4 linked regions of the Pelodiscus sinensis genome follow. The protein of the gene in region 1 interacts with the protein of each later gene in a biochemical or structural test. Links are inferred from orthologs where the notes say so. Each region holds a gene or a part of one and is shown in the gene's direction. Other genes may lie near its edges. The genes, in order: COPS5, macrophage migration inhibitory factor, IKBKB and CUL2.

Region 1 (7,199 bases):
TTTCCTCTTTTGCTTATATTCCTCTTAATTTCCCTCTCCCCCTCCGGTACAATAAAGCTCTGTAAAGCAGTTCAGTACAGCTTATATGAAAGACGCTACGAAAATAAATATGCATTACACAGATGCATGACAGTGTCTTATGAGAGGAAAGAAAAATAAAAATGCCTGGTTATTAAGACAAGCCAATGAGATACAAACTGCGAAAAACCGATAGCGCATTAGAGCGACCAGGGACACGCCGCCGCCGGGCACCGGGGGGCAGCAGCAACAGCAGCGCGGGGGGGGGGTAGGGTTACAAGGCGCTGCCCCGCGCAGAGAGAGGGGGAAAGAGACACCAGAGCGGGCCCGAGTCAGGCCACGTTCCTCGCACACAGCGCGGCGGCCTCGGGCTCTGCCTCTTTAAGACGCTACTCAGCGTTGTTAGGCAACCAGGCTACAACAAAAACTGCTGCGGCTCCAGCCTGGGCCTAGCGCGCCCCCCTCCTCGGCCTCCTCCCTGCCTCGCGAGGCCTTTCGTTCCCCGGAGGGGCGCAGACACCCCCGCGCTTTCCCCCGGCCGCCACCGGAGGGGCACAGGTCCCCCCGCCCCGCAGCGAGGCCCTGGGGTGCTCGCTTCTCCCATCCCGGGGCGGCTCACAGCGAGGGGGCCGCAGCCCCCGACTCCCCGTCCGCGCCTCAGACACAGGCAGGAGACCAGAGCGGCCGCCCCAGGGGGCAGGTGACGGGGCAGAATTGCGTCCCGCGCTCCCGGGAGGGGGGCTCCCTGCGCCCCACCCCTTAGCCTCAGCAGCCGCCGTTGAGTTCCCCGGTCCCGTTGTCACGGCTGCAGCCAGCCCGCGGCGTCACTCACCGGTTCACCGTCGGGTTTGCAGGCGGCAGCTTCAGCTCCAGCTCCCGCCCTCGTCCTCTCACTTTACCGCCTCCCCCGGAGACTTGCCGCCAGACCTCCGCGGCTGCAAACAGCGCCCCCTGCTGCGCGGGAGCCGGGACCGGACTCCCGGTGTGGATGTGCGGGGATGTCTCTCGTTTCGTACCCGATGCCTGCCAGGGAGCCACTCCCGGCACGCGAGATCCTCATGCACAATTCTCCTCCCACCCGGTACACAGGTGACCATCTGGACCTAAACAAATACCACACAGAGGACATACCGTAGAACCAGACAAGGATACTGCACGGTCACGAATACCTCCATGTAGTGGACCCCATTCTCTCCCTCCCAAAAGTGACACTGTACCCAACCATCACATACAGAGGGCCATCTTCCTCCTACCCCTCTCCCACACACAAATCCTAGGACGTGGAGGGCTGTGTTTGCAGTTTGATTTTTTTTAAAGCAGGAGTGTAAACCAAGAATGAGAACTTTGCCACTATTTTATTGTCAATTGGCCTCTCTGCTTCTACTCTTCTTGCTAAGTATCAGAGGGTTATATATGGTTGTGACTACTTTCTTCCACTATTTGATCTGAGGAAGTGGGTCTGGCCCATGAAAGCTCATCATCTAATAAACCATCTTGTTAGTCTTTAAAGTGCTACATTGTCCTGCATTTTGCTTCAACTACCCAAGACTAACACAGCTACATTTCTATCAGTAGGGTTAGCTGTGTTAGTCTGAATCTGCAAGAGTCCTGTGGGACCTTATAGAATAACAGATTTATTGGAGCATAAGCTTTTGTGGGCAAAGACCTACTTCGTCAGATGCATTGTAAGGGACAGGGGAGCAGGACCAGGGACTGAGCCAGCATCTTTGCGCACCAGCTCCCCTGTCCCTTACAATACAGAGCAGTAGTCGGGGAAGTGGGTCTTTGCCCACAAAAGTTTATGCTCCAATAAATCTGTCAGTCTATAAGGTGCCAAAGGACTTCTCATCACTTTTACTCTTTATGCTGAATCTACTTCCCCTGCAAATAGTGTTTCCATATGACATCAAGAATGGAGACCTTCCCAGCTCTCTCATTTCTTCCCTTCTTATAGCCCATTACAAGGGCCCAAAAATTCATTAAATGTGAGACAAAGGAATAAGTGTAATATGAAGCATAACTTTAAATTTGTTAATATAAACATTCCATATATATATATAATGACCCTGTAGCAATCAGTAGAGCTCTGCAGGGGCACAGACCTCTCACACTGATGCAGAATCAATAATAGGGCCTTGTGTAGGGCCAGACATTTGCATTTTCATCATGTCCCATTTTCCTAACTTGGGTTTTCCATGAGCAGAACCATGTGCAGGGATTCCACTACATGATTAAGATCTAGCTGTGCATGACACTTTACAGTACGGGTGGGCAACAGTTTTTTTGCCAGGGGTCGCCTGGCCCTGGGCCGCTCCGGAAGGGGCGGGGCCAGGATGGTTTCCAGGCTTCCCCACCCATACTCCATGATTAATCTAGGGGTGGAGGAGCCCCTTTGTTCCTCCTTCCCACTAAGCACCCATGCCCAATGGTAGATGGAGACTTCCCATGTCCCCCACCCTCAGGCCAATCAGGGTCTGGGAGCCAGGGCCACAGTATGACTTTTGTGGGCCCTAGGCACTTTTGCCTTCATGGGCCCCTTCCTCCATAAAAAAAAAAAAATATTAAAAAGTATTTTGATATAACTTTAAATACTTAAACATTTTTTTTCTGTTTTAGGCAAAATGTAATAGATTTTCGTGGGCCCTAAAAGTTTCATTTTTTTCTGATGTGAGAAAAATATTAAAACATTTTCTTTGACCCTAAAAGTTCATTTTTGTCTTCTGATTTTAAAAGAAATTAAAACATTTTCATGGGCCCCTAAAAGTATCATGGGCCCTAGGCACTGTGCCTAATGGATAAACACTTATAAGTGCTGCGTGCTTTTTGCAGGGCAGGGATAAGGCAGAGGAAACTTTGCGGGTTCCTCCTGCTGCCAGGCCAATCAGGCGGTGGGGGTGGGGGTGGAGGTGGGGGAGCATGCAAATTCTCCTCCCGTCGGTGGTGACTTTGTGTGCTTCCCCCCACACACAGAAGCTCTCTTGCCCACCCTTGCTTTACAGACATAGTCATTACCAGGGTTTGCTGAACAGCGGTGAGCCCTGCTCGCCAGCTGCGTTGTCCCCCCAAACCCGCAGATCACCCAAACCCAATTCTTCCGGGTTACAATCTACTCACCCATGTCGAGTAGATTGTATTATTTGTCAAGCCCTGATCATTACTAGGCATATTAAAATGCATTTATTTTTGTAAACGTGTGGCAGCTGGTGCTTTTAAGCCAGCTCCCCACACATGCTGGCTTCTGTCTCCTTCTTCCTTCCCCCTTTCCCCTCCCCCCCCTCCACTGCTGCCTCTGTATTAGCGAGGAGGGAAAGGTGGCTCCTTGGGAACTGGCATGCCTGGAGAGTAAGCTTAAAAACCAGCTCCCCACTGCACACCAGCTCCCAACTCCCAGTCTCCAGTTCCATCCTACATTTTGAACCCCTCATTTCTGCCCCTCCCCAGAACCCACACCCCCAGTCCAAAATCTGTGCCACATCCTACACCCCAGCCCACTGCTTCAGCCCAGAACTCCCTTCCATATGCCTAATCCCTTGGCTCCACCCCACACACTAGAGTTCCCTCTTGCACCCCAAACACTTCATCCCTGGTCCCACCCTAGAGCCCACATCCCCTCCTACACTTCAATCACTGGGCCAGCCTTGTGAAAAAGAGTGAATGAGGGTGAAGAAAGCAAGCAACAGAGAAAGGAGGGATGCAGAGAGCAAGGGCAGGGCCTTGGAAAAGGAGTAGGGGGTAGAGTAAGGCTATTCCGTTTTGCAGAAAATCAGCAATCCTAACCAAGATGGCTAGGACAGACTTTTTAAAAATGAAGTTGAGCTTCTCGTGTCCTCCCATTTCAGGAGCTGAAGATTTACCTAAGAAACCAAACATCAGGAGACCCAGGATTACATTGTGAGAACTAGCAACGCTTGACCATCTGTTCATTTCCACACTGCGACATCCCTAAGTTGTTGCGTGCGCAACTACTGAGATCACCTGCACAGCTAGCTGAGCGTGGTCTGTGTTACGCATGTGCGTTGCTTATCCATGGCCCCGCTGTCAGCCGGGCATGGTTCTGAGTAGGGCGGTACTTCTAAGACTGGCCTCTAGGGGGCGCGCTGCCCAGGAGGTTTCAGGCTTTGCGGACTGTACCATTCCCAACCCTCCCCCAGTTTCTATCGGGACATTCCAAGCCTTGGCTCCCCCCTTCTCGCGCCCGACACTTGGTTTGCGCGGCGGCCGGGTCGGGCCGGGCGGCTGGGGGATGGCGGCGGCCGGCACCTCCGGGAGCGGGATGGCGCAGAAGAGCTGGGAACTGGCCAACAACATGCAGGAGGCGCAAAGCATCGACGAGATTTACAAGTACGACCGCAAGCAGCAGCAGGAGATCCTGGCGGCCAAGCCCTGGACCAAGGAGTGAGAGCCGGGCGCGGGGGAGCGTTCCGGGCTATGGGGGCGGGGAGGCGGCGGGGCCCATGGAGCCCGGGGAGGCAGCGGGGCCACCCGTGTGGTTTAGGTCCTGAAGTCAGCAGCATTTCCGGCGGGTGGCGGTTAAGAGGGGCCCTGGGTAGGTGTTGATAAACGCCACCCAGCTACTTCTCCCTTCTTTCCCTCCCCCCCCCCCCCTTGCTGTACTGTGCACGTTTCCTCTGTGTGTGTTTGCCTGCCTGGTCATGTACCTGTCCTCTCATTAATATCTCTCCGCTCTTTTCTGTAGCAACCACTACTTCAGATACTGCAAGATTTCGGCTCTGGCCCTGCTGAAGATGGTCATGCACGCCCGGTCTGGAGGCAATCTGGAAGTAATGGGGCTGATGCTTGGGAAAGTGGATGGGGAAACTATGATTATCATGGACAGCTTCGCTTTACCTGTAGAAGGCACTGAAACCCGAGTCAATGCTCAGGCTGCTGCATATGAATATATGGCTGCATATATTGAAAATGCAAAACAGGTAAATAAAGAGATCCGTTGTGCCAGAAGATAGGCTATTGGTGCTGTAATAACAACTCAGTGTCAAGCATGAAATCTTTGTATTTCACAGCTATAGCAGTTATACATAATATGTATAGTTGGCTTCATTTACACACACATTCACTCTCTCTTCTTCCCCCCCCCCTTATTTTCCATCAAAAGAAACCCTAAATCTCCTTTGAGAAGAAAAAATATAAATCACGGAGTATATAGACAGCATTGGCAACTACCAGTAATTGTACTTTAGAAGATATGAACATTATACAGAATGTTTGCATGAAACATAACTGAAATAGTTCTTTCCTCTACCCCCTGCCTTTCCATATAGACTTCCATTCACATGTAGGCCCTAATCCTCCAATGGGTTTAGTGCAGACAGAATTGGTGCTTTAATCTCTGATGAAACTTGCGAACATGTAGTAGGTAAATATAATAAAAAGTTCCAAGCTGGAACTTTCTATTATATTTACCTACTACATCATATACTTATTTTATATTAACCTCACACTGCAATCTTGATAGTGATGTAGTGCAGAATGAGCAGTACATCCCATACATGTTTCCAGGTTCAAATAGTTCCTCTATCTATAGTTGAATTTTTGTATTTCATTAACTATATCTAATACAATTAGAGACACTTGTTTCATTTGTGCAAAGTTCTCCTAAATTTAATGGTGAAACTCAGGTTGCAGGGTTAGGGAATAAGAATTGCTGCTGTATTTACAGCTGGATTACTTATAGATTTCAATATAAATTATGAGTTGGAATAGATTATAATGTACAGTAACTCCTCACTTAATATTTTTCAGGAATATAACTCTACGTTAAGCAAAGCTAATTTTCCCATAAGAATTAATGAAAATGCAGGTTAGGTTCCAGGATATGTTTTTCCAGCAGGCAAAAGGCAATGTGTGTCTCTAATATACACAGTATGAGTTTTAATAAATTTAATACTGTACACAGTAGAGATGTTAAATTTCAATTAATCAACTAATCAAGTAGCCGAAGTGGGTCTTTGTCCACGAACGCTTATGCTCCTACACTTCAGTTAGTCTATAAGGTGCCACAGGAGTCCTCGTTGTTTCTGTAGGGTTAATAAGACCACAAATATTATTCTTTGTTGAAATAATTTAATGATGTATAGTGATCTGTTCTAGCTGTACCTATTAAGCATTTAAACTGTAAAGCAAGTACAGTAGACTTCCAATAATCCAGCACCTTTGAGACCTAGGTGGTGCCAGATTATTGGATATGCGGGAGTATCGGGAGGTACTCCGGCGGGGGGCTGTGACGGGTCTGCCAGGACCCGCACTGTGTCTGGGGGGTGGGCAGGGAATAGCACGGCGAGGGGCGAGCCCTCTGCCATTTTGCAGGAAGGTGGGGGAAGCCCCACACCGCTGCCGAGAGTTTCTGGGAGGGGAGCGGGCTCCCCACCCTCCAGACTGCAGTAGTTATCGCTGAGCAGAGGGGTGAGGGTCGGTGCTGCGGGACCAACCCACAGCACCCCTGCTGCTCTGCTCTGCCGCTTGTCCACCGCTCATCAGTTTCAGCAGCGGCAGTGGCGGACTTGAGAAAGCGGCGAAATAGAGCAGCTGGGGTGCTGCTGGGTTGGTCCCACAGTACCGCCCCTTACCCCCTGCACAGTGCCTGGCAGCACCCCAGCTGCTCTGCTCCGCCCCGCCGCTTCCCCAAGTCCGCCACTGCTCCTTATGAAATTAATGAGCAGCAGACAAGTGGCAGAGCAGAGCAGCTGGAGTGCTGCCGAGCAGCGAAGTGAGGGGCGGCGCTGTGGGACCAACCTGGCAGCACCCCAGCTGCTTTGCTCTGCCACTCGTCAGTTTCAGCAGCAGCAGACTTGGGGAAGCGGCTGAAACTGGCAAGCAGTGGAGCAGAGCATCTGGGGTGCTGCTAGGTTGGTCCCGCAGCGCCGCCCCTCGCTCCCCTGCTCGGCGATAACTACTGCAGTCTGGGGGGTGGGGAGCCCATTCCCCTCCCAGAAACTCTCGGCGGTGGTGTGGGGCTTCCCCCTCCTTCCTGCAAAATGGTGGAGGGTTGGCCCCTCGCCGCCCCATTCCATGCCAGTAGCTTCAATTGTCCGGCTGGCCGGAGCACTTGCACTTCCAGGTTCCAGTTGGTGCCGGACCACTGAATGCCGGACAATTGGAGTTTTACTGTAAAAAGATTCTTTGGTTTTAAGCCTGATTCTGTTTGTTTAAAATTGGTGCCTAAA
Region 2 (6,998 bases), on another chromosome or scaffold:
TGTCTCTGCCCATGCAGAGCTTCAGCAGCTGCTCCCCCAGCGAAGCAAAGTGATCCTGGGAAGGCAGCAACCGGCATGGGGGCACATGGGGCACATTCAGCACCAGTGTGCATGGCAACTTCCTCCTCCTGTGGGCTGGGGGCCCCTCCAGGGGGGAGGCCACCACTGCGATGTGCTGCCCACAGCTTTGGGACATGCCTTAGGTAGAATCCGCCACCCAGGACAGAGGGGCCAATAATAAAGTGCAGGGCCATGTGCGGGGGAACTGACTGCACACACCTCATGCTGGCCCTGCTTTTCGTGACAGGGCTATATCCACACAGACTTGTGGCTAAAAGCTGTAGAGTGAAGCTATAACCTCCGTCGGCACATTTTAAACTAACGGTAGGGCGACCCTGCGAACCCTGCCTGTATCTGTATTAGCAAAAGTGTGTCCAAAATTGTACTTACACTAAAAAAAACCCATAGTTGTCGGTAGGTAGGTAACTGCTTAGAGGAAAGCAGATCACATCTGCTTCAAAAGGGCAGTATCAGGTCCTAGGATTTGGAATGTGCAGAGACAGCAAATGGACAAACTCCACTCATTTATCCCCCCTCCCGCTTTTCAGCAGCTGAGCAATTTCCAATGACATAGAAGACTGGAATGGAAGCAGGGCCAGCTCTAGTTTTTTGCCACCCCGAGCAAAAAAAATCCCGCCCCCCTTTTTTTGTTGGCTTTTACACGTTTGCACTTTGCAGTGTTTTGTTTGTTTGTTTTCATTTTTGTTGTCCCGGCATTTTAGCCCTATAAATAGCAAATGTAATCTTAATTATTTTTTTTCCATAAATGCAAAAGCACTTCAAGTAAACTCCCTCTCCCCTTTCACTTGCTGCTGGGTCACAACAGCCTTTTCCCTGCCCTGTCCAGCCCCGCCCTATGGACAAGCACCCCTCACTCCCAACCCACCGGGGCAGCAGAGCCAGCACAGAGCCAGAGGGGCAGGGGCAACAGGGGGAGCAAGGGGACTGGGGTGCTGGGGTGCACAGAGCCAGAAGGGTGCAAGGAACAGTGTGGGCATACAGGGGTGGCACAGGGAATGGGAGGCGCAGGGTGCGGGGTGCAGAGGAGGCACAGGGAATGGGATGCAGGGAACGGGAGGGGCAGAGGGATCGGGGTCCAGGAGCAGTGCAGGAAATGGGGGACACAGACCCAGAGGAGTGCAGGGAAAAGGGGCTGCGGGGTACAGAGGTGGCACAGAGCCAGAGAGATGTGGGGACTGGGGTGCAGGGGCAGCGCAGGGAACGGGTGGCGCAGAGCCAGAGGGACGAAGGGAACAGGGAGAACAAAGGGACTGGGGTGCAGGGGAGCAGGGTGCGGGGTGCAGGGGCGGTGTGGGGAACGGGTGGTATGGAGCCAGAGGGGCACGGGGCGGGGCGGGCACAGCGAGCCGGGCAGCCGGCAGGGAGCGGTCTCTCGCCGGCCAAGGGAACTGGGGCCGCCGCAGGACTGGAGCCAGCAGGGAGGGGCAGAGCCTGGCTGTGCCGCGCTCCGCAGCCAGCTCCCGGGGACACACAACCAGAGCCAAGCTCCCTTTTAAATTGTCAGGGCGGGGCGGGGCTGGGCAGTGCCGGGGGATGTCTGCTTACCTGGAAATGTCGCCCCTGGAATTGTGCTGCCCCAAGGATGTGCTTGATTTGCTGGTATCTAGAGCCGGCCCTAAATGTTAATTAGGAGCTTAACCCTTTTGAGGATCTGGACCTAACTGCTTTGCATTGCATTAAAAAAAATGTTGGGTGCGATTCCAGCATCTTAATTTTTTCAATACCTTTCTTCCTGAGATTTATTATTTATTGTTATTATTATTATTATTATAAAATACAGTAGAACCTGAGAATTACAAATACCTCGAGAATGAGCATTCTTTGTAACTCTGAAATGTATGCAGCCCTGAAGAAAAAGTTATGGTAGCTCTTTCAAAAAGGTTACAACTGAATACTAACAATACAGCTTTGAAACTTTACAATGCAGAAGAAAAATGCTGCTTAACTTTTTTTTTGTAAGTTTACATTTAATGCAGTGCTGTATTGTATTTGCTTTTTGTTTATTTTGTTTCTACTGCTGCCTGAGATGTACTTCTGGATCCGAATGAGGTATGTGTTTGACTGGTCAGTTCATAACTCTGGTGTTCATAACTCTGAGTCTCTATTGTATGAGGCCATGCTTAAGTGAGAACAAAAGGCACAGGTCACATTTTATAAAGTATGCTGTGTAACCAAAAATGAATGCTTAAACTCGTGTGTGCATGTGCAACATATACACACTCCAAGTGAGTTACACATGCACATGGGCAGTTTTAGTGAACATGCAAGCCCTATGCATACCTGAAATCCAAAGAGAGGGCCCAACATTGCCTCTCAGTGTGTAGGGGAAACCCGCCAAAGTGGAGAAGAGTACATCCACAGCATCACTCCCGAGAAAGACCATAGATCCTCTCCGTACAAGAACAGCAGCATGGCTAGGGTTCTACTGTTTTGGGGTTGGCAGACCAGGGAAAGTGAGAATATCTGGGGTGCAGTCACTGACTGCAGCACGCTCCTCCCCCTCTTCCCGTATTGCATAAATTCCCAGAAGCAATACCCTTACCTTCCTGCAATCTTTCAGGGAGCTGGAGGTTGGGGAGCAGAGAAGGAGAATGATTTAAGCAATTGCAAGGAATAATAGAGACAGCTCATTTTTCTAAATGGTATTACAAAAACATCTTAAAACATTCACCCGTGTTCTTGACCCAGACGCTGCCTTTCATTATTTATTGTACACTGGTTTTGTGGGTCATTACTTATTATAGGATTATGTATATATTGGCTCTGTCTGTGTGTGTTGTGGCCCTCCATTTATATATATAGTGTGTGTGTGTGTGTGTGTGTGTGTGTGTATTACCCTCCATTTTGTGAGTCATCTGACTAGTGCGAATTGGGGATGACATGCTACCTACCAGTCTGCCTGAGCAGCATTGGGGAAAGCTACGTGCATCTCAGCACGCAGCCCAGCAGAGGGCTCATGTCCCAAGCAGCCTTTGGCTTCTACATAAAGGCAGCTCACTCCTCTTCAGGCACGAGCCAGGATCAGAGCACGTCTGCATAATTCAGTTCCAACAAGAACACAGACTATAGACTAGTGATAGAGATGCAGCCCTGTTAGTCTGGTCTAGCTGAAACAAAAGACAGGACACAATAGAGAAATCGTGGCCACAATCGTTTCCTATGTAAGAGTGAAAAGCAAAAGAGAAGAACTGTAGAACTCATGCCAGCAACACAGACATAAGCCATGGTTTGCATTATGTGATGGGGGTGGGGGGAAGAGAACCAGGCAAACCCAAACACACATGTTTGTATATAAAAAAAGTGCAGAGGGCTACCATTTATTTTGCAAATAAAAGAGCACTTTCTGGGTAGAACTTGCGTGTTTGCCCCCATCCTGCAGACCGGCTTATGGTAGGTGTCACCCCACCATCCATAGTCCCACTGAAATCAGAGGATGGGCGGGACCTATTCACAGCATAAGTCTTTATCTGATATTAGCCTCATACAATGGCTTATCTGAGCCAGGGCCAGTTCTTACAGCGCCCAGCACAACGGGGTCCATAGGAGAGCCTTTGGGTATTCCCGCAATATAAATATGTATATAAATATTTATCAGTATATAAAATACAGAATCTACACATTTCATAGTTACAGGGATATAAATTCTATTGATATAGAATGTATACAGTTATTTAATAAAATAATAATAAAGCAAATGCCTGAGCAAAGGGAGGCATGGGGAGACGCCCGGCAGGAATGACGAGGGGAAACTACACACACTTCACATCCAGCAGGTGCCCCAGGACCGCGCTTGAACGGATTGTGCAGTTGCCAAAATGCGCTGCGGAGAGGGACCCGTGTTTGGGGCGCTGCTGTCCCTTTAAGAATCTGGCCTAGCGCTGATCACATGGGCTGCATTTCGGAGCATCCAGCGAGGGAGGAGGGCAGGGTCTCCGGTTCAGCTCCATTTTGCAGCAGCAGCGGCGGCGGCAGCGGCGGAACGGGTTGCTGCAGGGGCAAAGGGTCCGCATTGCAGACAGGGGCAGTTCTTTGCAAGGCTCCAAGATGCCCATGTTTGTGGTGAACACCAACGTGAGCAAGGACGCGGTGCCGGAGAGCCTGACGGGGGAGCTCACCCAGCAGCTAGCAAAGGCGACCGGCAAGCCTGCCCAGGTGAGTTGCGGAGGCTGTAACTCCATCCCGGCGCTGCAGGTTGCTTGCAGAAAGGGCAAGTCGCAGCGCCGACGGATGCTAGAGTTAGCCGGGAGCCTTGGTGCTGGTCTCCCCGCTAGGGGCTTTCTTTCTCACCCTAGCGGAAACAGAATTGAGTCTCTTGTAACTATTCTCAGTGTAAAGGGGAGATCTCTAATTTCTCTGGACAGCCTTTAGTCCAGCTTGGGTTGTCTGTCTGGGGGAGTGAGGCGAGACGGGGATGGAAGGCCTGCAGCACGTGGAAGCGTGCTTGCATGGCCCCAGGGGGCTGGCTGCTTCTCCGCTGTGGAATAAATGACTGTGCGTCTGACTCATAGGCAGAAGTGACACTACACTGCCTCGTGGACAAGGCCAGGCGCTAGGGGTGCATGGTTTGGGCGGGTTCTCGCATGCTTATCTGCTCGTTAAAGCGAATAAACTATCCCAGTTTGCCATAGAGAGGTGTGCTTGTGGGAGGGAACGGTCCTGTTAAAATGGGTAGGTTCCCATTGCAATGGGTGTATAACCTGGCAAGTAACCTTACTAACCTGGCAAGTTCCTGTCACCAAGTATTTTGCTCTATGAGGTCCACAAAAGCAAGATCAAAATGGGTCTTCGCTATTAAAGAATGGTGTGTACAAAAGACTAATGCTACCTGAGGTCACCATTTTTTGACTGTGTTGCAAGAAAGCCCGATGGGACATTAAAACTTGCCACAGAGGGCAGCAATGGGTAAGAAGGATCGTGACTCAGCTCCAGGCAAAGTTTCATATCCTGTTAAGTCAAGAAAATGTTCCACTAATATCCTGCACATACAGAGGCTTCTCATCCCCAAAGCTCTCAGACACTTTGCAAATATGGGTGTGCATCTTTGGCTTCTCTTAGCAGAGGTATAGAGTAGCCAAGTAGCTTGCCTTAGGTGATACAGTGGCTATTATCTGCTGGAATTTTCTGTGAATGTCCCTTCCATTTCACAGTAATGGGAGCTAAAGCTCTATTAGCATCAGAGTAGACAGCCCATTATTGTTTTGATCACTCTGTTATCCTAACATGCCTGTAAGCAGGCTTAGCAGATGAGGTGGCCATGGGCTTACTCCATGAATTGCAGTCACACTATTTCAGTGGTACTGGTGTAAAATGAGAACCAAAAGGCTGGTGTACCAACAGTCAACACCAGTGAATCTGTGGTAGAGCAAGCAAGAGAACAGAGCCCTCCTGTGCTTAAAGTTTTATAGATTTATGGGAGCAAGCTGATTGGTCAGTGGCTTCTGTAATGTGCCATGTATAGAGGCTAACAATTATAGCCCTACCAATAGCTGAACATTGACTGGCTAGAAAGCAAGTCCTATTGAATATTAGCGTCAATGAAGAGGATTACTAAGTCATTCTTCACAGAATTATTTAAAATTAAGCTGGGGGGCTACATCGCTATGTGTCTGGCAAAGGTACTGTACTATTGCAGTGGATGCTTTAGAAATGTACAATTAAACACCACTTGTGCTTGCCATAGCTAATCCCAGGAAACAAGCCTGCTCTCTGGATTCCAACTAAATACACCTCAGAGGAGAGAGATTGAGGACGGAATATTAACCTCCTCACTAACAGTTGATTTTGTTTCGCAGTACATAGCTGTGCACATTGTAGCAGATCAGCTGATGTCCTTTGGAGGCTCCACGGATCCCTGTGCCCTTTGCAGCCTGCACAGCATTGGCAAGATAGGAGGCCAGCAGAACAAGAACTATACCAAGCTGTTGTGTGACCTGCTCACTAAACAACTGCACATACCTGCAGATAGGTAAGGCTGCACTAGAGTGACATTCAAATTACTGGCTTGCCTAAATTATTTCTTTGGATTCTCTATTATGCTCCCTGGTGGCTGTTGTTTATTAACACCCAAGGGAAAACTCTTATCTATTGTGAATAGAGAGATACAACTTTCAGACTTCACAACAGTCGTGTGCTGGTGCCATGAATTGGCCCCAGATTAATGTGGTTCAGGTGGCTCTCAACCTTTCCAGATTACTGTACCTCTTTAAGGAGTCTCTGGCATACCCGCAAGTGTTCTCACTTAAATACTTGCTTACAAAATCAGACAAAAATAGCTTACTTTCTTATTTTTACCATAGAATTATAAAATACATGAGAATATAAATATTGAATATATATATTTCATCATACAGCCCTATAAACAAGTCATTTTATGAAATTGTAGTGTGTACTGACTTGACTTGTACTTTTTATGCAGTGTATTGTAAAACTACGCAAATATCTAAATGAGTTGATGTATCCCCAGAAGACCTCTGCATACCCCTTGTTGAGAACCACTGGTCTAGTAGGCTACCTATAATCCCAAGTGGCTGGCTGATATAGTATAATCTGAGCCTTGGGAGTTAGGGTTAAATATGATACACAAATGAATAATATTCAGTGCCCTCTTCTTTTTTTTTTTTTTTTTTTTTTTCCTGGCATGAAGGATGATCATTGGGCACCTTGGGGAGTTTGGAGGTAGGCAAGGAGACCCAGAAGAATTCTGCCACTTGACAAGCAGCTGCTGTTCTGTCAGCCAGCAAGGGAGTAGAGCAGCAGTACCCAGTGGCAACCAGGAGGAGCTGCTGCTGCTGCCTATGTGTGAAGAGGCAGGGATTAGTGATGTTAGCGACTAGTTGACTATCCGATAAGCAAATGCTTATCGGGTAGTCAAATAGGAACTCGACTAGTCGCTTCCCCACCCCTTGCTGCTTCTGTCA
Region 3 (6,950 bases), on another chromosome or scaffold:
TGTGCCCGGGGCCCCGCCCCTGCCCCCGGCTGGCCTGGCAGCACCGCGCGGTGCCCCTTACAATCACATGCCCTGGGCTAGGGCCCGGTCTGCCCATAGCTTGGGCCGGCTCTGATTACGACCTTGCATATTTTCAGTTTCCTTTATAGAAATTTCCTTTGTATTATGCTGTTTCTTGTCAGCTGACAGGGCCCATTGCCCAGTGTTGTGTGTTCTTTAAAGAGGCTTTTGTAATACATACAAACAAGGGGGCCATGTTCCTGTTGATACTGGAACCTTAAGTGTGAATTTCCTGACTCCTGTTCAAGTGAAATGTGAATCTTAAATTTGCAAAGGTCTGACCCTGAGATGTGCTGGGCCCAGTGGGCCCTCACTGCCTTCCATAAAGAGTGTCTCTCAGAACCTTCTCTGGTTGGGACGGAGTATTTTGGGTCTGTGGAATGTATCCATTCTCAGTAAAGAACCTGTGTGTCTACACGTTCACATCCCTAGTGTCCAGAAGGGAACAACATATCAGGCTATTAAAAGGCGCTTTGGACAAGGGTCATACCAGATTGCTGAAATGTCTGGTAAATAATTAGTAAATCTTACACTCCTTGGGGAATTTCCAGCCCATTGTATGTCAGAGGAAATGCAAAGTTACAGTAATGTGCTCTCTCCTGAGCCTGCAGGTTGGACCCATCCCTCCTGAGAAAATCCACTCTGCCACTTCCATCCCCGTAGACATATTTTCCCATTAATATCTTAGGCATTTGCACTTTCACTCTAGGTGTTGATCGGGTAGCTGGCTCCTAGGCTGTACCTCAAATGGCATTGGTACCATTTGGAATTCACTATCTCCTTGGACAGCAGAAGCTGACAATGGAGAAGATTATCCTACTTGGCGAGCACAAGCCAAAGAGATGATGGAAGACAATGAGATTTCTGACAAAGTTAAAAGAAGCCCACTTGTAACTGACAGCAGGCAGATTTGAATCTGGGATCTCAGGAGCTTAGGGTGTGTCTAGACTACATGCCTCCGTCGACGGAGGCATGTAGATTAGCCAGATCGGCAGAGGGAAATGAAGCCGCGATTAAAATAATTGCAGCTTCATTTAAATTTAAATGGCTGCCCCGCTCTGCCGATCAGCTGTTTGTTGGCAGATCGGGGCAGTCTGGACGCGCCGCGCCGACAAAGAAGCCTTTCTTGATCGGCACAGGTAAACCTGGTTTCACGAGGCATACCTGTGCCGATCAAGAAAGGCTTCTTTGTCGGCGCGTCGCGTCCAGACTGCCCCGATCTGCCGACAAACAGCTGATCGGCAGAGCGGGGCAGCCATTTAAATTTAAATGAAGCCGCGATTATTTTAATCGCGGCTTCATTTCCCTCTGCCGATCTGGCTAATCTACATGCCTCCGTCGACGGAGGCATGTAGTTTAGACATACCCTTAGTGTCTACAATTTGAGCTATAAAACCACCGGGCTCTCGGCTTAGGTTGTAGAGCGCCCTTGTTCTTCACTCTTGCTGTAAGTGGTCTAAGAACCACTATGGGACAGTGAACCTTACTAAGTGTGGGGGTTATACCTGCTTCTGATCTAGATCAGGTTGAGCCTGACCCATTTGGTGAACTTGGAGATCCCACGTGTGGGCCTATTCCTGAGAACGTGGGGCTACTGCTGTGCTTTAAGATTTAATGTGGATGCTGCCAAGGCAATGATAACAGCTGGTTCAAATTGCTTCAGATCAGAATGTTCAATGCTAGACCCTTCCATCCACTAACAGTCAGTGGAAACAAGATGTGGAGAAATTGGAGAGGGTCCAGAGAAGAGAAAGAAAAATGATTAAAAGTCTAGAGAACATGACCTAGGAGGGAAGACTGAAAGAATTGGGCTTGTTTAGTTTAGAAAAGAGAAGGCTGAGAGGGAACATGAGAGCAGTTTTCAAGTATCTAAAAGGGTGTTACAAGGAGGAGGGAGAAAAATTGTTCTCCTTGAGCTCTGATGATAGGTCAAGAAGCAAGGGGCTTAAATTGCAGTAAGGGAGGTTTAGGTTGGACATTAGGAAAAAGTTCCTACCTGTCAGGGTGGCTAAACACTGGAATAAATTGCCCAGGGGGGTTGTGGAATCTCCACCACTGGAGATATTTATGAGCAGGTTAGACAGACACCTGTCAGGGATGATTTAGATAGTGTTTAGTCCTGCCTGAGGGCAGGGGACTGGCTCTTGAGGTCCCTTCCAATTCTATGATTCTATGAATAGTAATCTAGGGTATGTCTACACTGCCACCCTAGTTCAAACTAGAGTGGCTAATGTAGGCATTCAAAGTTGCAAATGAAGCCCGGGATTTAAATATCCTGGGCTTCATCTGCATCTTGCCAGGCATCGCCATTTTTAAATCCCCCTTAGTGCGGACTCCGTGCCCGCGGCTACACACGGCATGGAGTAGGTAGTTCGAATTAGAGAGCCTAATTAGCCTAATTAGGCTATCTAATTCGAACTGCCGTTACTCCTCGGGGAACGAGGGGGAGGTGGAGGACAACTGGAGGCTGGAGGATCAGTGTTGGGGTGAAGGGAAACGGTGCAGGGGGGCAGCTGGAGCTCATAGGCAGCTGGGCTGCCTCACAGGAGCAAGTGGCGCAAACAGCCATTTGGGCTCCGTGCTCCCCATGCAGGAGGAAGAGAAAAGAAAGAGAGAGTGAGAGGCAGGAGGAGGAGGAGAAGAGAGAATGAGAGGTAGCAAGGGGAGAAGAGAAAGAGAGTGAGAGGCAAGAGGGGAAGAAGAGAAAGAGAGACGGAGAGAGAGGCAGGAGACAGAGGAGAGCTGAGAGAGAGAGGGGGGAGGCAGTAGGAGGAGGGGGGAGAAAGAGAGATGGAGTGAGAGACTGGTGGCTCAGGAGAGAAGACTGAGATAGAAAGGGAATAGTATGTGGAGGACAGACCTGAAAATCCCGTTTTATGATGGGCTAATTGGCTAGTTGCAGAATACCCAACGCAAAAATTCACTGGCTCATTGGAGGCTCTCCACAATCTAACCAGTGACTCTGTTCACTGGCTGGAGAGCATGGACGTCCAACTTTGATGAAGAAATACAGTGTTGACCACGGCATTCGAAAGAAGAAGACTGCCATAGAGATTCTATGAAACATTTTGGTTCATTTAAGTTTTTTACTTCATTTGATTCTACATTTTCTTTCATGTATAGTGCCGCTCCTCCACCAGGTGACCTGCTCTGTCCTTCCGATATATTTTGTACCCTGGTATGACTGTCCCATTGATTGTCCTCATTCCACCAAGTTTCCAGGATGCCTATTATATCAATATCCTCCTTTAAAATGATGCACTCTAGTTCATCACCTTATTATTTAGACTTCTAGCATTTGTGTATAAGCACTTTAAACATTTGTCACTCTTTGTCTGCCATTTCCTGATGTGTTCTTCTGATCTGACCCATACTTCCATCTTCTGTTCCTGACTAGAACACAGAGAATCTCTATTAACAGCCCCTCCCCTAAGCGATGTCTCTGTCTGATCCATGTGCTCTTCTGCACCGTCAGCTTCCCCCCAGCCCTTAGTTTAAAAACTGTTCTACAAACTTTTTAATGTTAAGTGCCAGCAATCTGGTTCCATCTAGGTTTTGGGGGAGCCCATCCTTCCTGTATAGGCTCCCCCTATCCCAAAAGTTTCCCCAGTTCCTAATAAATCTAAACCCCTCCTCTCTACACCATCATCTCATCCAGGCATTGAGACTCAACGCACCGGCCCTGCTCAGTATGATCTGTGGTACCCAGGCCTCCAGTTCAGTAGGGCCTGATGCTGCATAAGCAGCGTCCCGGGGAAGAGCCAGTCCCACCCCCTGCCCCGCGGGGCGGCGGAGCGAGGCTTGTTCGGGGCGAGCGCTCGGTGCGGGCCGGGCTCTCGCCGCAGCGCTGCGAGCTGCCGCCTGCCCCGCGGACCCAGAACGCGCCGAGGGCGCCGGGGCGGGGCCAGGCACGTGACGCATCGCGGGCCCGGGGAGCCGGAGCCTGCTGCCGCCAGGGGCGCGCGCGGCCTGTTCCCGGGGCCGCCGAGCCGGAAGCGCCGGGCAGCCCCAGCCCCGCAGCATGAGCCGGGCCCCGCTGCAGAGCCCGGCCTGCGGGCCCTGGGAGATGAAGGAGCGGCTCGGCACGGGCGGCTTCGGCAACGTCCTCCGGTGGCACAACAAGGTACCGCGCCCGCCGGCCCCCGGGCCCCCCCGGGCCGCCCCCGGCACCCCCCGGGCCGCCCCCGGCATCCCCGGCCCCCCCCCCGCGCCGCCCCCGGCCCCCCCCCCGCGCCGCCCCCGGCCCCCCCCCGGGCCGCCCCTGGCATCCCCGGCCCCCCCGCGCCGCCCCCGGCACCCCCGGCCCCCCCCGGGCCGCCCCTGGCATCCCCGGCCCCCCCGCGCCGCCCCCGGCACCCCCGGCCCCCCCGCGCCGCCCCTGGCATCCCCGGCCCCCCGCCCGTGCGGCGGCACCTCCCCTCGCCTCTCACCGCCCGCCCGGCCTGTCCCCTCTGCCTGCAGGAGAGCGGCGAGCAGATCGCGATCAAACAGTGTCGGCAGGAGCTGAGCCTGCGGAACCGCGAGCGGTGGTGTCTGGAGATACAGATCATGAAGAGGTGAGCCTGCCCCGGCCCGCAGTCTGAGTGCGGGGGGCGGGGGGCGGGGGAGCCGCTCTCAAGCACTCGGAAGTGGAAGTCTGACTCCACGGACTGCTCCCCAGACGGGATCTGTTCTGCTAGGAGTCGGTGCTGCCGCCTTTTATTTACCCCTTCTGTTTGTTTCATTGGAAATAAAGATGAGTAATTTGCTGCTGCTTCTGCAGAGACAGTGGGAAAACAAAGGTGCTTATGCTATTGTGATGGGGCGTGATCAGAGAAGTCCCCCTCATATAGGTCCCCATGAGCTGATCATGCCACTGATGCCCCCTCTTGCTCTCTGGGGCTCCCCACCACCCTGTCCTGCTGGGCCAAATCCTCCCGTCTCCTTCCGACAAGGCAAAGAGTTGGGGTAACTGCTCCCCTGCAGAAGAATGCAGACACTGAACCACGTCAGCTCTGGGAGGACTCAATTCTGCAACTCAGCACCCAAGAAACTACCACTCCAAAAGGGATCAAAACTCCGAATAGAGCTGTCTTCCTGAGTGTAAAAGTTTTACACAAGGAAAGCTTAGTCTGCAGAAGCGAAGAGCAAGGGGGGATTTGATAGCAGCCTTCAACTTCCTGAAGGGAGGTTCCAAAGAGTAGTGATGGATGACAGAACAAGGAGCAATGGCCTCCAGTTACAATGTGGGAGGTCTAGGTGGGATATTAAAAAATTAATGGAGATTGCCTATCTCCTAGAACTGGAAGGGAGGTCATTGAGTCCAGTCCCCTACCTTCACAGCAGGACCAAGTACCATCACTGATGACTATTTGCCCCAAATCCTTACATGGCCTCTACAAGGATTGAACTCACAACCCTGGGTTTAGCAGGCCAATGCTCAAACCACCAGCTATCCCTCCCCAAAGCTGGGAAAAACTATTTCCCTAGGAGGGTGGTGAAGCATTGGAATGGGCTCCCTAGGGAGGTGGTGGAATCTCCATCTCTAGTGGTTTTTAAGTCTTGGCTTGACAAAGCCCTGGCTGGGTTGATTTAGTTAGGATTGAGCTTGCCTTGGGCAGGGAGCTGGTCTTGATGACCTCCTGAGGTCTCTTCCAGCTCTAGGATTCTGTGAAAGCTCACAAGGATGTTAACCCTCTTTATTCAATGAGAGAGAGAGAGAGATACACATAGTGGTTTGCTCCCCCCAAGTAGCAATTATTTACACTGGGCCTGATAATAAAAAAACACTTTTGTTTACATGCTACTTTCTGTACTTACTAAGTGGCTGCAAGTGAAAACATATCAAAGTAAGTTACTAAATTAAAATGAAAAGTCTCAGAGGGGCAGCCCTATTAGTCTGTAACTTTAAAATTGAGTAATCCTGTGGCATTTTAGAGACTAACAAAAAATACACAGTATCATGAGCTTTCATGGGCAAAACCCCCTTCATCAGATGAATAAAAAGCATACAGCTAGTTCTAATCTGCTAAGAAACTTGTTACATGCAACTTCTTACCCATGCGTAATGCAGGAAAGGCCTTCCCAAAACTGCCTACACTCTCCAGCCACCCAGGAAGTTTGGGGCTGGGGCTTCCTGTGGACAGGGGTTTCTCTGGATGAGAGCAGCTCCTGTCCACGGTAAGGATGTTAAAGACTAGTTGATTATCCGATAAGCATTTGCTTATCGGATAGTTAGTTGACTAGTTGATCCCCCCCCCTTGCTTCCGCAGCAAAAGGGAGGAGGGAAGAGGGGGTGCTTCAAGGGGCAGCACCTCACAGTTGATCCCTGGCTGACCTTGGGTTCTGGGGAAGTGCCGGATGGAACCCTTGGTCAGCTGGGGATTTCCCAGCTGACCCTGGGCTCTGCATGGCATTTCAAATCAGCAGCATGGAGCCCAGGGTCAGCGGGGGACCCCAGACTCCATGCTGCACTGCTGCTTTGAAATGCACAGGGGCCCCCTCTGGGGACTCTTGTACATTTCAAAGTAGGAATGCAGAAGTGCCTGTTGACTAGTTGATAGAAATTCGATTGACTACTCGACCAGTAAATTAACCGCAATTTGACATCCTTAGTCCATGGTGGGCCCCCTGTGGGACTGGAGCGGGGGGGGGGGGGGGGGAGTGTGCCAGACCCCACCGGTTAACCAGGTAATCTTTCAGATAAGAACGGCCACACTGGGTCAGACCAAAGGTCCATCCAGCCCAGTATCCTGTCTGCCGACAGTGGACAATGCCAGGTGTCCCAGAGGGAGTGAACTGAACAGATAATGATCAAACCACGTCTCTCCTGCCAGCCATCTCCATCCTCTGACAAACAGAGGCTAGGGACACTATTCCTTACCCCAGTGGTCCCCAACCATTGGAGGTTG
Region 4 (7,818 bases), about 170 Mb from region 1:
TGCAGTGCTTCATAATAGGCTTCAGTAGCTAGCTTTAATTTTTGTGATGATTGTAAAACATGAGTTAAATCTAAGAAAATGGTCGTGCATTTTTTTTCTGTTTTTTCCTGGGTTTAGTGTTTTGTTTTTTTTCTTCTTCTTTTTTTCCATACAGTCCACCTTGGCCCACACTCCTTATCAGCCCTCATCCCTTCTGTATAGTCAAACACCCTCCTTCCCCCATTTTAATTAGTGGGGAAAACACTGTTCCTGTCAGATTTCCAAATCATTTCAGCATACTTTAATTAGGAATGTGAAGGACTAATCGATTATCTGATAGCAAATGCTTATCGGATAACCAACAGGATAGTTCATTAGTCATTTCCCCAACCCTTGCTACTTGGGAAGGGAGGTAGTTCAAAGCAGCAGCCCTGCACAGAGCCTAGGGTCAGCTGCTCTGTGTGGCGCTGCCACTTTGAATGCTGTGAGGAGCCAGGATCCCCGTGGCATTTCAAAGTGGCAGCGCTGCGTGGAGCCCAAGATCCCCAGCTGACCCCGGGCTTCGGTGCTTTCACTTTTGAAGTGTAGCAACAGCTTAGAGCTCTTGCTACACTTCAAAGGTGGAGGCACCCTATTGACTAATCAAATAGACAATGCAAAAATGCATCGACTATTCGATAGTCAATTACATCCTTAACATCCTTAATTTTAATGACAAAAATGAGGTTTACTGCTATAAGTACTATGGAGATGATACAGCTAGGAGAGGACAAGCTGAGTTCTAAGTTAACTCTTATATCCTAATCAGAATTAATAAGGAACCCAATACTGCTCCCACTGGAGTCATGTGAAAATAAGCAGACTTCGGTGGGGAACAGGGTCAGACTCCAAGATTCATTTGCAGAACTCTTGTAGTGTTATATGACAGCCAGAACAGCTTAACTGTGATACAAGATCGAGTTTACTGTTTTAAAACAAAAAACTCAATCTGGTTATATGGAATGAACAAGCCTGATGTGGAAGCTGTTGAGAGAATTATTAAGCCATTTTTAATGTCTTTTCAGGATATAACCACTACTGGATTATCAACTAGAGGTTTCTAGTTTCTAGATATTATTTTAGTTAAGCAAGTGAAAAAATTACTATAACATATGTGGAGTGTGTGCAAGGGGATGAGTGTATATGGGGGCTGTCATGCTTATATAATACAAGATTAGCTAAACTGCTTTTGGTCAAACTTAAACACTTAATTAAGCTGCAACCAAACAGTATTTTTTCTGGATGAAACTTTCCATATGCATCATGAAAGGAGAATTAGAAATTAAACTGCATTTCTAAACAAGGTATCAATTGCATTAGCAAAGGCTACAATGTATTTTTATTTTGTCTGGGTTCAGAAAGTCATTGGCTGTTTTCTTGTCCTTTTTTCTTGTCAGTCTGAACTTTCAAATAGAAAAAAAATACAAAAAAATCTCACCAGAGGAAGCAAACTTGTTGAGATGTAATTGTTAGTTATTTTTTCTGACCACAACTTTAAAAAGGAAGCCATGTTTGAAGAAAATATTTTTAAAGTTCTTAATGCTGAAGTGAACAATTTTACACATGCACTTACATTATTTTCTATTGCTTTGTTAGGCTGCAATACATAGAAGTAGCTACTGTTCACTACTATGTAACTTAGCTTAAGCAACTTTTCCATTTAGGGTGCATCTACACCACACTCTTACCTCAAAATATGCTACATAATTTGCTTACATAATTTCTGAATAAACTGCTATTCCAACAAGTCCCGTATCCCTCATGGAACAACGGTTACAGGGACACTGGAATAGCATGCCTGTTGTTAACAAATTTATTTTGTTTAAACATTACATAAGAGGAGTAGACAAAGCCTGGCATTGCCTGCAACTCTCTGTAGTTGAAAATCCCACCTTCCAAAAATGGGATATTACCTTGGTCTTGCAGTCACACACTTGAATCCTGAGGTAATAATCAGTAGCTCCACACTAAGGGTGTGTCTAGACTACATGCCTCCTTCGACAGAGGCATGTAGATTAGCCAGATCGGAAGAGGGAAATGAAGCCGCGATTAAAATAATCGCGGCTTCATTTAAATTTAAATGGCTGCCCCGATCTGCCGATCAGATGTTTGTCGGCAGATCGGGGGAGTCTGGACGCGATGCCCCGACAAAGAAGCCTTTCTTCATCGACACAGGTAAGCCTCGTGAAACCAGGCTTACCTGTGTCGATGAAGAAAGGCTTCTTTGTCGGGGCATCGCGTCCAGACTCCCCCGATCTGCCGACAAACAGCTGATCGGCAGATCGGGGCAGCCATTTAAATTTAAATGAAGCCGCGATTATTTTAATCGCGGCTTCATTTCCCTCTTCCGATCTGGCTAATCTACATGCCTCCGTCGAAGGAGGCATGTAGTCTAGACACACCCTAAGGATGCTCAGTTGCTTTGGAAAAGGTAAAGGGCTCACTGTCTCCCACAACTTCCCATATGGTTTGCATCTGAGGCTGGGTTGCAGAGTCCCCTTACATGACCAGGAAGATACTAGCAGAAGTCACCTTGCTCACTGAGGGTATGTCTACAGTGCAGGGTAAAGTCGAATTAAGATACACAACTTTAGCTATGTCAATTGTGTAGCTGAAGTCAAAATAGCTTAATTTGGCTTTTGGTGCTGTCTACACAGCCAGAAGTCAAAGGAAGAACACACTTCCTTTGATTTTCCTTACTCCTCATAAAATGAGGGTTACAGGAGTCAGACTAAGAAGTCCTCCAGTTTGACATTATTTTGAAATAATGGCTTGCTGTGTAGGTGCTCACTTTGTTATTTCAAAATAACATCAGTTATGCCAAAATAATGCTGCTGTGTAGATGTACTCTGAGTAACAGTGTTCTAGGGAGACAGGGAGATGGCTGGACCGTGTCTAGAGAAAAATGGCCTAGCCTGCTGGAAGAATGGGAGATTAGCAGAGGTTGGTAAGGAGGAGCCTGAGCCCAACTAAATTTAGGAAGAAATTGAGGGGTAAGAATTGAAGACTGTGAAAGTAAAGGCTTGATGGATTGTTTGGGGAGGGTGAAGAAAAGTAGGAAGTACTGCAGTGGGGTATCTTCTTTGAAAGAGGCCATTCATAAATTATTTCACTCTCCGAGGGAGAAGACATATTACAGATGTGATTTATCAGGATGAGAAAAGAGCAGAGGAGAAGCGTAAGAGGTAAGGGACAGATGGAGAAAGTCAACTGTGAATATACATAACTTTCTGCACATATTAGTTTTATGTATATCGGTTTACACTTTTTGAGGCGCCAATGTGGGTAGGTTTGTGGTGGAATTTAGCAGTTCTACCAATTTATACAAATGGTATAAAGGCATCATGCAAAATAGCAGTCTCCTGAGTTATGTCCTGACTAATTTTCACTGTTCCTGGTGACAGGCAGGTAGGATTGCTAATTTTGGTTTGATGTATTCCTGAAGGCTTCATCATGAGACATAAATTATAATTAAAGATTAATCTGTAATTCCTGGAGATTCTGGAGTTTGGCACCTCTGCTGGGCTCTGCTGATTCCCACTGCATATCTTCCTTGAAAGCTGAAGAAGAGGCAGCTATGCAGAATATTTTGAGAAATCTCAGTGAGTGGGAGGAAGGAACACATCAAGCTGTGAGAACTGTATGGGTAGTGAGATATTTGTTATTAAATATGTGGCGATGTGAGAGCTCCAAGTAATCACACTTGGGTGCTGCCTTCACGGGAGAGAAAAAGTGAGCTTGTGTGAAATTACAGACTGGCTTGCCTTCACTTGGCCTTCATCTTGCCTTAATTAACTCGGCTCAACACATCTTCTTTGTCCCTGGGTGGGGAGAAGATTGTGGGGGAGTTGATAGCGGAGGCAGCAAGGGAGTTAACTATGAATGTGTTTAGAGATATAGATGCCTGTGACTAACCTCCAACTGTCTTGTAATTATAGGAGCTTTTTTTTAATATACTGTACCTCAGGCTAGTAATAGTATGGGCTCAATAGTAAATGTATAAAAGGTGCTTTATAGATATCTTGAAAGGCTGCATGCTCTGTCTCCTGCCTCTCCAAAAGGAAATCAGACTCCAATGGAGCGTGGAATGAGACCTTGCTGGCGTACAGACTTTCCTACATGCGACTGCTTCAGGCTTCCTTGCACTGAATCTCTTCCTGTGCTTTTAATTCGGTGACAGGTTGGAGGCATGCAGAGTGGGGCGCGGCTGTATCGGAGGACATAGCACTGGTGTATGCTTGCAGGATGGGCTGCACTTGCATGAGGGAAAGCGGGTACAGCGACCGTAGCAGAGCTAGCGCTGTGGTGCTGGAGACCGGTGCGAGCGGAATCCCGCGTGTATAACTCGCGTAGCCCTACAAGACACCACCCCGAGCCATACAATGCGAGCAGCGCACATCGACTCACTAGAGCGACTTCCCGAAAAAGGAGCACGCGCAGAGAGCGTGTGGAAGCTGGTGAGTAACACATGCGCACCGCAGAGAAGGGAAATCAATCCGAACGAGTAGCGCGAAGCATGCGCATGCGGGCCCCGTCTGGCCCTGCGCTAAGGGGAGTTCAATTAGTTATTTACGGTAACAAAAGTCGAATGAATTTAGACCCTCTGCTGTACCCGTAGTCTGGACTGTACCAAACCGGCCGGGGGAGAGGTGCATCGCGCCCAGCCCTGGCTGTTCGCCTAGTGCCACTGGGCAAGCGCCAGCCGTGGCCGGTTGTGCGATTTGAAGCGCACGCAGCGGGGGCGGGTGAGTATCAGGCAGGCCCGGAGCGCGCTGGGGCCGGAGTGAGGGAGGTGCCCCTCCCCCCGCGGTCTGCAGCGCAGTGGCGGCGCCGGCGGAGAGACGGGGGCCGCGGCCGGGGAATGGCAGCGGTGTGAGGAGGGCGAGCGGGGCAGGGACTGCAGCCTCAGGACGCGAAGGGAGGGGGGCCGGCTCCGCTGAATCCGGCCTGTGCTGACAGGTAGCCGCGCGCTGCAGGCGCCTCCGGCCCGGTAGCGAACGCCGCGGGGAAGCGGAGCGGGGGCTTCCCCGGGCTCCGAGCGGGCTTGACCTCCCCGCGCAGGGCCTGCTGGGCCGGGCCCCTCGGGGAGGCGGGGGGTGTTAGCGGCCGCCGAGCGCCTGCCGGCCCTGCCTGCGCCCCACATCCTCTCGCCCTCGTGACGGGTTTTGTTCTCCCCACGCTGCGCCGCCGGGTTGAGGTCCCGGCCATGTTGGGCTCCCCGCGCCCGTCCTGAGCTCTGTGCCTCGCAGGCCCCGGTATCTCTCCCCCTCCACCGCGCCCCGGGAGCGTTACCCCCTCGCGCCAGTTTCGCTTTTGCTTTGTGAGTGACTAATATGGGTGCGAAGGGGCAGGGAGGTGAGAGACCCGCAGCTGTAGTGGGTGGGGCGGCAGGGGCTGCTCCCCCTGCTCGGTTCTGCTCCTCGGCGATTTTCAGGGCCCTGGTTGCTGGACTTGACTAATTAAATTATTTTCGATATTCTAACTTTAGTGCCCCACTCTCCCCGGTCGTCCCCTTCTCCCCTCCCCCCCCCCACTTCTTTTCCTGGCTGCCACCCAGCACTCCACCCTTGTGAAAGCAAAAAACACATAACATATGTCTGTAGAACTATTGGGGTCTTTGTATGTTCGTGAAACCTACGCTTGCTGGTTCCTCTAATTCAAATAGGGTATCTGGGGATGGGAACCAAAGGATAAGAAAACCAATGGCTATGTAAGAGGGGTAGCTGTGTTAGTTGGTTTCTGCAAAACCACCAAGGAGTCCTGCAGCACCTTATGCTAAAAAAATTGTTTTTCTTTAAGTTAAGTGTAGATCTTTGTCATTGATACAGCTTGGTCTGAAGTAAGCTGTACTAGTCTAAGTTGCTTTTTATATTAGTGCAGTGTGTCCACATTGTAGCTACTCTTAAAGAGCAGAGAAATTCTGCTTAGGTCTCATCAAAAAAGTGTTCCCACTCTTTCTAGTGTAAGTGTGTGCTTTATCCTTTTAGGTAAAGATTAGTTGTATTTGTTGGTTGCCAAAGACATGCTTTATTGTAGTTTGTTTCCTAGCTTCTTCTACTGGAGTTCATCCTCCCGTTGGAATAGATAAGCCTCAAATCTCTTCCTTTCCTGGGATTCATTATAAATTGTTGCCATTTGTGTGAATTCATGTTAACAGTAACAACCTTCTATGTGGAAAACACTTTTTCTTTAAACATCCCAGTGTACACTTGATGAATGTTTCTACTAAAATGAAAATACTAACACACAACAATGATGTATTAGTAGTAATAACATGGCTTTTTAGAGAGAGTATCCTGATTTAACTTGATATTCTCATCTGTATAATTGTCAAGTACTACTCAGAATCCTAATAAGATGAGTTCCATAAGCCAATTTTTTTAATATAAATATATTTTTCTCTTGGTTCAGAATTTGTTGCCTTGAAATTTTATTAAAAATTCCAGTTGTTTTTGTGTGAGAAGGTAAATAGAAATGCCCAGTCCACCGTCTCTTAATGCATTTTTCTGCTTTGTGTCCTCTTCAGACTACACAGATGTAATATTTGCAGTCTTTTATATGCAAGCTTTTTTCATGCTTCTAAACACCATCTATTTCCATTATATCCATTTTAGAGAAAGTGGCCAATGCTGAATACGGTATCCTAAGTGAAGGTATGCTCTCGTCTCTGTAATGGTTTTTATATTATACATCTAAACACTGACTGTGGTTGATTTTGCACGTAGAAATATGTTGATTATTAAACGTTTTAGTTTTTATAATTTTATGCATTTGTCAGCATTTTATCAATTTCAACAGTATTGTTGGATGGTTAGGTGCTCTTGTCCCATGCACTTCTGTATTGGGAGTTAATGTGTACAGTCTTTCCTGTGCCCTGCTCTTGGCTGAGTTTGGAACTCAGAAGGGGTTGACTTTTATTTAAAGATATCTGGATCTTTGCTTCCTTGTATAGGACAGGCTTTACCATACCTACTTCTGAGATTTTTTTTTTTTTTGACCCTTTGAAGCACTGATGTTACCTTTATTTTGGGTCAACTGTCAATTGCCTTATTTCTGTTACTTTCAAGCAGTCCCTGCTGACCGCAGATTGTTTGGAAGTTGTATAGGAGCCCTATGTAACTCTGTAATCCACTGGGCTAGGAAACATTCATATGTGGGGGGAGGGGAAGCAAGATTTTGCTGAAGTACAGGACACACTTAGGCTATGTCTACACTTTCGGCTTCTTGCGCGAGTAATATGCAAATGAGGCTAAGCGTGGAATATCACCGAGCCTCATTTGCGTACCTAATGAGCAACCATTTTTTCAGAAGAGGCTCTTGTGCAAGAAGGAGCATTTACACTGCCCCTTCTTGCGCTAGAAAAACCCTCTTGCACAATGCCGTTTCACGTATTTCTTGCACAATGCCATTCCTGAAAAGTAATACGTGTAACGGCATTGCGCAAGAGGGTTTTTCTTGCGCAAGAAGGGGCAGTGTAAATGCTCCTTCTTGCACAAGAGCCTCTTCGGGCAGGGGGGAGGAAGGTGGCTCATTAGGTATGCAAATGAGGCTCGGCAATATTCCACGCTTAGCCTCATTTTCATATTACTCGCGCAAGAAGCCGCAGGTGTAGACATAGCCTTAGGGTACTTTTCAGCCAGTAGTAAATACTTCAGAAGATAACAGCGGTTACTAGCTAGTAGGTGAGTGTGCTGACACATGCAGTGAATTCCTACGTTATCGGGCTAGTACCCTTCAAGTTGAGCAGCTTTGTCATAAATCAGTGGTCCCCAATGTTTTGGGGCTGCCGGGCACCTGGGG

Evidence for each region.
Region 2: the proteins of COPS5 (region 1) and macrophage migration inhibitory factor form a complex in vitro, tested with the Homo sapiens proteins (2 studies listed by BioGRID). The link is inferred for Pelodiscus sinensis from reciprocal best matches to the Homo sapiens genes COPS5 and MIF.
Region 3: of the proteins of COPS5 (region 1) and IKBKB, one has a biochemical effect on the other in vitro, tested with the Homo sapiens proteins (2 studies listed by BioGRID). The link is inferred for Pelodiscus sinensis from reciprocal best matches to the Homo sapiens genes COPS5 and IKBKB.
Region 4: of the proteins of COPS5 (region 1) and CUL2, one has a biochemical effect on the other in vitro, tested with the Homo sapiens proteins (3 studies listed by BioGRID). The link is inferred for Pelodiscus sinensis from reciprocal best matches to the Homo sapiens genes COPS5 and CUL2.

Annotation. Positions count from the first base shown.
Region 1 is NC_134712.1:57,851,493-57,858,691, forward strand, and holds the start of COPS5 (COP9 signalosome complex subunit 5), read left to right. Parts: upstream 1-4,193; 5' UTR 4,194-4,261; coding exon 4,262-4,413; intron 4,414-4,714; coding exon 4,715-4,949; intron 4,950-7,199. UniProt on the Homo sapiens protein: Probable protease subunit of the COP9 signalosome complex (CSN), a complex involved in various cellular and developmental processes.
Region 2 is NC_134725.1:6,004,469-6,011,466, forward strand, and holds the start of macrophage migration inhibitory factor, read left to right. Parts: upstream 1-3,995; 5' UTR 3,996-4,125; coding exon 4,126-4,233; intron 4,234-5,873; coding exon 5,874-6,046; intron 6,047-6,998.
Region 3 is NW_027465860.1:407,401-414,350, reverse strand, and holds the start of IKBKB (inhibitor of nuclear factor kappa-B kinase subunit beta), read left to right. Parts: upstream 1-3,936; 5' UTR 3,937-4,081; coding exon 4,082-4,183; intron 4,184-4,490; exon of another isoform or gene 4,491-4,521; coding exon 4,522-4,616; exon of another isoform or gene 4,617-4,630; intron 4,631-6,950.
Region 4 is NC_134712.1:231,951,323-231,959,140, reverse strand, and holds the start of CUL2 (cullin-2), read left to right. Parts: upstream 1-4,818; 5' UTR 4,819-4,977; intron 4,978-6,632; 5' UTR 6,633-6,671; intron 6,672-7,818.